Linked DNA regions of Caenorhabditis elegans. The protein of the gene in region 1 interacts with the protein of each later gene in a pairwise test. Each region holds a gene or a part of one and is shown on either strand. Other genes may lie near its edges.

Evidence for each region. Proteins that work in one complex are often made in the same cells at the same time.
Region 2: the proteins of F20C5.6 (region 1) and phaf-1 interact in a two-hybrid assay, tested with the Caenorhabditis elegans proteins (2 studies listed by BioGRID).

The regions. Positions count from the first base shown.
Region 1 is NC_003282.8:8,771,171-8,774,926, forward strand, and holds F20C5.6 (ELKS/RAB6-interacting/CAST family member 2), read right to left. Parts: upstream 2,037-3,756; 5' UTR 2,019-2,036; coding exon 1,481-2,018; intron 1,356-1,480; coding exon 1,161-1,355; intron 1,098-1,160; coding exon 784-1,097; 3' UTR 390-783; downstream 1-389.
Region 2 is NC_003279.8:8,286,266-8,290,021, forward strand, and holds the start of phaf-1 (PHAF1 protein T01G9.2), read right to left. Parts: upstream 1,860-3,756; 5' UTR 1,844-1,859; coding exon 1,784-1,843; intron 1,740-1,783; coding exon 1,599-1,739; intron 1,549-1,598; coding exon 1,421-1,548; intron 1,190-1,420; coding exon 1,015-1,189; intron 819-1,014; coding exon 715-818; intron 670-714; coding exon 557-669; intron 512-556; coding exon 438-511; intron 390-437; coding exon 328-389; intron 1-327. Other genes in the region: kin-10 (Casein kinase II subunit beta), read right to left, coding at 2,936-3,086, 3,619-3,756. UniProt on the Caenorhabditis elegans protein: May play a regulatory role in autophagic activity.

The sequences.
Region 1 (3,756 bases):
ACAAAATGCGATAAGATATATGATTATAGTATTTTATCTTTTGTAAGTGTTGCCATAATTTCAGTAACGAAAAAAATAACAAGGCAATTTTAGATGTTAGGAAAATCGAATTTGTCTGACTAGCCAACGAATGTTCTCAATTGAAGTTATTGTTCTTTTTTAAGATGTTTTCATACAAATTAGTCAGTTTTCGAAGCTTCAGCCACACTTATCCGAATTGAGCAATTTCAAAACTATTTTTTGTAAAATAAAATACATCTCCGAAAATTTACATCGAGTTCCCAACAATACTGTATGGATAGAAAATACCTACCAATACTGCACATGAAACGCTCTGAAAATAATCGGAAAGGAAATGAGAACCTTTTAAATATAAAATGAGCACAATAAGTAATACTAACTTTATTGAGAAAGAACATAATTGTTATGAGAATAGTTTTTAAATGAGGTGAGAAACAGAATATCCCTGAGAATAAGTGAAGATACTTGAAAATTTGTGAAATAGTAATAAGTAAAATGTTTTCACATTAGTATAAACAATGACAGAGTCACGCAAAAGTACGGGAAACATATGAAGTTTATAATACAGTGCAGTACAGAAAAGGTACAAAGTTTACAAGAATACAATTGTTTTTTAAAAATAATTTTTTGTTGAAGGCTTAAGGTAATACGATTAAAGAGCTACTTTCTTCCAATACGAAGTTGAATTTAAAATTTAAAAGGAAAAAAGGAAAAAAATTAAAAAGCATATGAAAAATCGGGGCGCATTTTTAGTGCAAAAAATTAGATGGCATTTATTTTATCCCATCCATCTGAATCTTCACTGTGTGTGGATTTATTGTCGTCATCTTGATCGATCATTGTATCATCAGCTTCTCCTTCTTGATTGATAAGAAGACCTTGCAGTTTTTCCGAAAGTTCCGAAATCTTCAAATCCTTCTCTCTCAATGCATCATGCATCTTCTGAATTTCAGCGGATCGTTCGCTATTTTGAATAAGTTCCATCAGACACTCAATTTTGCTATCTTTTTCCATGATTTCTCTTTTATGATTTGCAATCTGTTCTTCTTTTGATTCACATTCTCTCTTTGAATTGGCTGAAATAAAAGAAAATGCTTACAGATGTGTGTAAAACCCCTAGAAAACTTTCACAAGCTTACCTGTCAATACTTCAAATTGCCCCAATAAGTTGTGCTTCCACTCTTCAGTTCGAAGTTTAAGATCTTCAACTGATGTATTAAGCGTGGCTTTTTCCTGCTGAGTGTTTGCAAGTTGCATCTCTAACGCCATGACGGTCGAGTTATGTTGATCCAAAATATGACTGATGTCTTGTCCCACATGTTTTTGGCGTTCTTCTGAAAATTATAGATGGTAATTTTTAATTAATACTTTAATATATAATAGAACAGCTCGTTTTTTCAATCAACTTCATCTGTTTTCTAACCAATGTTGGCCAACTTTCAGTAAAACAATAGCTTACCTTCAAGATCGGATTCCAATTTAGCAATTCTATCTTCCGCTCTTTTGGCACGTCTACACATCTTTCCTGTATTCATATCCGCTGAGCACAGTTCTTTTCTCAACGTACGAATCTTTGCCTTCTTTCTCTCAACATCACCATCGATCTGTTTACGAAGATTCGAAATTGTTTTGTTTTTTCCAAATATTTCTTCTGAATGAATATTTTCCATTTCTTCCTTCTGTTGAATCAACATGCGGCTCTCTTCCTTACACCTCTCAATTTCTTCTGATTGCTTTTTGAGTAACTCCTCCTGATTTTTGATAGTTGCCCGAAGCTCACTACCACATTCTCCAGGTTCCAAAAGTTGCTGCTCAAGTTGAATAATTCGTGCTTCACTCTCTCGAAAATCTTTTTGAAGAATCTCCGTATGTAGAGAGCATTGCTCAATAAGCTTATCTCTCATCACCAATTGTTCCAAAGTTTCCCATTGTTTCTTTTCCAATTGATCGATGTCGATTTTCGCTTGTGCCAATTCAGCTTTCAGGTTGTCCATCATACTTTCCAGTCCAAGTTACTAAAATATCAATTTAGACTCCATGTATTGAGGTAATAAAAAAGGTATTTGAAAAGGTGTAAAACCTTCCAAAAATCACAAGAAGTATTTGAAAAAAATGTAAAAATTTTATAACGACGAGGTTGAAAAAAACACTGAAAAATCAAGTAAAGCCCTGAGAGGAAATAGGTCGAAATGGAATTTTAGAATTATTGAGGAAAAGATTCAAGAATATGATATACAACTTACACGAAGAATTTACAATTTTGAAGAACAAAGGAAAATGAATAAAAATGCAAAATAGTTAATTTGAATATTAAAATAAATAGAATTTGACAGAAAAAATTCAGAAAATTGAAATTACGAATTAAAAAAGCTTAAGCATCGCTCATATGATCCCATCCATCTGATTCTTCACTTTTCAATGATCTACTGCACGAGCCCAAGTTAAACAAAGCCTGAAAATTCGGTTTTCCCACTTTGTCCAGGTCTTCAAAATAGAATTTCAAAACAACAAATCAACGAAAATTCGAGAAAAAAAATTAAAAACTCATTATGTATTAATTGAGAAAAAAAAGGAAAAACAAAAACGAAACAAGATGAAAATTAGATACCAGAGCTTGCTACTTACAAAATAAACAAAAATATTTACATACATGTTGCATCACTAATAAAATGAACTTAACGTATCAGTTAGAACATGGAAAAATGGAAATCAAATGTCATTCATCAGATCCCAACTATTAGATGCTTGACTCTTTGAAGATTATCCGTCAGAATCCCCATCGTATTCGAATTGCTGCAAATCCTCCACTTTTGTTTCTTTGTCCCGATTAATCAGAAGTCCTTGAAGTTGCTCGGTAAGTTTCGAAATTTGCTCATCTTTCTCTTTCAGAGCTTTTTGCATTTTCTGAATTTCTTCATTTTTCAGACAATTCTTCATGCTTGCGATAGGATACGAGGAAGAAGCTAAAACAATTTCTTCAGAGTTAATCAGATATTATTAAAACAAAAAAGCTCACCTTCCAACTCTTCTGAAGAAATAACTCTTCTCTTTTTAGTTCCACTAGAACTATGGGAGTTGGTTTCCATTGCATTATCTTTACTGCTCGCTTTTCCTCTATTTTCTGAGTGGTAGATTAATTCGATGTCAGGATCCCTCTGTTTCATGAATTGAGATGATAAACTTTGTGATTTTTCTGAAAATATAAAAACATACTTTTCTGTTCTTGCATTTTTCCGGTAAACATGTTCATAAAAATTTCTTACCATTTCGAGACTGTGCTTCTCTCAAGCTATTTTCTCTTCTCTCGAGCTCTTTTCTCAATCTTAAAATTTCTTGGTTCTCATGCTTTCAATATACTTTTCAAGCTTCAAAATTCTCTCATCTTTTTCATTCATCAGTATCTTATTCTCTGTTGTAAGCTTCTGGATCTTCCACGTTTCAGATTGTTTCTGAGCTTCAAGACTTTCCTTCAAAATGTCAATTTCACTATCTCTAGCAGGCGATGAACGAAGTTTCAAAATTTCTTTCTGAAGCATTGAACATAGTTCATTTTGATTTGGAAGTTGCTCCAGATAATTCAGCCGTTCATCTTTTTCTGCCAATTTTTTCTCGAGATCTTCGATTCGCTGAGTAAGCTTCAGATGATGCGCTTCCTTAAGTTTGAGCTGATCCTTTGCATTTCTGTAGTTTTCTTCGAGTTTTTTAGTCTTCAATTTATTATTTTCAAAAATCATC
Region 2 (3,756 bases), on another chromosome or scaffold:
CTGAAATCTTTTAACTTTTTTTTTCAAAATTTATCCTTTTTAAATATTAGTTGGAAAGTTGTTAAATAAATTTCAGGCATTTTGAAAAAAAAGAACTTTTTTCACAATTTTTTAATTTATTCATTGGATATTGCTGAATATCAACAAAATGCTATATGAATTATTTTTAATTGATATAAAACGCTTACATTGAAACCCTTCAACTTTTTTTAAGAAAATTTTTCTTCAAAAATTGTTTAAATTTTCAGTGGAAAATTCAACATCTATTGAAAATAAATCTAAATTTGTGAGAAAAGAATTTGAATTTTCAAGAGAACGAGAACGTACTTCATCTTGTCATCGGACTTGTAGAAGACCTTTGTCGGGGCTCCAAGAATCGATTGCACATCCTAAAATTTAAATTTTTAGAACAAATTTTTTTGATTGAGAAAACCAACCGAAACAGAGTCTCCAAAATAGATTTGTCGTGTGTACGTGGATACATCATACTCTCCATCGACAATTCTTCCGTCTGCAAATATTCACTTTTTTTAATAATTTCAAAAAATTCCAGTACTTTGAGTATCAAATTGAATATCAATTCCAACAATATTCCCATTTTCCCAAATTGCTTCGACTTTTCTCGTCCGATTTTGACCACAATAACACGAGAATGGAGTATCCACGGATCTTCAAATTTTGAGAAATAAATAGAAATAAATAATAAATTCTCACTCTGGCTCAGATGGATTTGGTCCACGATAAATGGACATCTTGGTAAGTTTTGGTTGAGAGTTGGCATCATATTTCAGCGAACGAAGATTTCCACCAAATCCAGGCTGAAATTGAAGAATGTTTGAAATTTCGGTTTTTGGGAGATATAAAAAACTTTTTGGAAATTAAAGGTGAAGTAGCGGCTGTAGGTTAGAAAAAACTCTTTTAATTTTTTACTATATTCGGTATCGTATTTTTGATTCGAAAAAACCCACAGACGGTACTCCAACTTTAATACCCAAAAAGATCAAACTACAGTACCCTGACTTCCAAATTCGAATTTTCTCCTCCATATGGGAAACAGAAAGATAATCCCGGCCAACTTTGCACATAGATATTGTGCTTATCATCATATGATCCTGGATGTGTCGATCCAAAAAATTCGTTGACCCGATCCAACGTCGCCATGTTATTTGGATCAGAGAAGATTGTATCGCTGAAAATTTTTATGAAGAAATTGTATGACTATCTTGGCAATTGAAATTGATTTTTTTTCTTTGATAGTTTCACAATGACCCGAAACGACCGAATTCAACAGAGAGAATTTTCAATTTTCAGATTTTATGCAAGGCTGAAATTTTTCGAATTTTCAAAACGCCATAATTTGTTTTAAATTCAATAGTTTTAAACGAGCTTCTGTAGTTTTTTTTTTTTGATGGTATCATACTTATAAGTAAGTGTAATCATTGAAAGATTATCCACTTCAATTAGCTTGATAAGCTGTGAAAGGCCATCAAAATAGAGACGAATTCCTGTAGAACCGATATAGATGATGATATCCTGGTAGAATGGATCCTGAATTTAATTTAACTTTATTTAAAAGTATAATTAGTTAATTTCTATACCTTTTTACTGTACTTCAATTCGACTTTTGTAAGCATTCTTGGATGTTGCTGAATCATTGCAATACATTGATTGATTGGCATACCAAGCACAAATTCGAATTGTGAACTTTTTAGACCAACATCTGGTACAACCTTGAATTTCTTTGGAAAATATTTATTATTGATTTTTTGACTTTAAAACAAACCGTGAAGCTCAGATCTTCTTCAGTTGATGGTTTCTTTGTGACTTGCTGTTTTCCATTCATTTTCGATGATTCAAAGCTGTAAAAGCTTTTATTTAATTTTTGAAGAGTTGGAGAAAAAACAAAGAAGAATTTTTAAACTATGATTCACAAGAAAAATATATATTAAAATTGAGAACTGATATTTACTTGGTATATTCTTTTCTAAATTTTTTTTCCGCCAATAGTACGGTACCCGGTCTGGGCGCGACGATTGTTTTCTGAAAACAAATGGGTCTGCGCCTTTAAGAAGTACTGTTATTTTAAACGTTCATTGCTACTGAATTTTTATCGACTTTTCATACTTTTTCCCACGATTTGTAAAAATTTTGTGTCGTTTTCTTTTATTATTTTTTTTAACAAATACATTTTTACCGAAAAACACTGAAAATCGATAAAAATTTTGCAGCAACGATAGTTTGATATTACAGTACTCTATAAAGGTACACGTCCGTTTTTATTTTACAAAAAAGGCGTATCGAGACCGGGGTATCGCCTTTTCCTCGCAAAATTTCACGTTTATGCAATATAATTTAAAAATATATTGGAATTAATGTGAAAAGCTGTTCAAAAGTTTTTTCTTCAGGTAAAATATGGAGCGTTTTCAAAAATTGTAATTTTGAAATATTTCAAAATAAGCAGAAATCAATGTGCTAATCGTTAACCAAATCAACTGGAGATATTAAAACCGTTCAAATAGTAAATAAAAAAGAAAAGAAACACATGACGTCGATGGCAGAATCGAAGGCTGTGACTGAGAGACTGCAGTAGAGCGCACTTTCCCGCCCAGCTGTTTCCGCGTGACGAAGACAGGCACAAATAAATAACGTTGCACTTTTTACACAGAAAATTAGGAACACTCTTTTTGAGATGTATGGGATCTACCGTTTCATTCATTTCTTAAATTCGCATAATGTTGGAATAGAACAGATTTAGAAAAGAAGAGAAACACGCATGGAAGAACCGCCGGATTCTTGAGTTTTGTCGGAAAAGAAAATTTTGGGGAGAAGAAAAAACGAAACAATGAAGAAAATAAGGATGTTGTGTTGAGAGGGGGGACATTCTGAATGGAAACTGGAAAGAAGAAATCAAAACAAAAATAAGGAAGAAAGTGGCTCAGAGACCATAATTATTGAATTGTCCTCCAGATTGTTGCCCGGCTGGAGTCGTGTTGTTTTGTGCTGCGGCAACGTTATTCGCCGTATTTCCGCCGCTGTTTCCCTCCTGTCCTCCATAAGCAACAGGATGAATTTTGAAACCGTAGAGTCTGAAAATTTTGATATTTAAAAATTTACACATAACATAATTATTATTGTACTAAGTTCTGCTAAATTTTTAAAGTGGATAAAATATTATTGTTTGATCTTCTAATTTCTAAAATTATTTCGAATCTAATTTAGTACAGCCAACTTATTTCGGCAATAGAGTAAATCTTCTAATTTCAGTCTACCAAGTCAACTTTTTGAATTAAAAATGATTTTAGAAATGTGTCAAAATATTTTATTGATTCGAAATTGCAACTTATTCTTGTTGAAATATTTGAAAAAAGATCTCAAATAGAGCCTGAAAGTTGCCGAATGCCGAAAAAATAACCTTCAGACACTAGTCGTTTTGAATTTTCCAACATTATTAAGTTGTGTTTTCGAATCAAGCAAATATTTTACTTCATTTTTTATTCAAAAAGTTTAATTGGTATACTGAAATGAAAAGATTTACTCGATTGCCGAGATTTTAAAGATTTTTTAAATTAGAATTTCGGATTTTCAAATATTTAGCTTAATATATATCCTCTGACATACTTTGGAACGAATTGAGTGACTGGTCTGCGTGGACGCAGATCAGGATGAACAAAGAAGAGCATATGTGGGAATCCGGTGCCAAAATAGCTTCCATCAGTATGTTGATGACGTGATGATCGTGGAACGAAAACATCATTG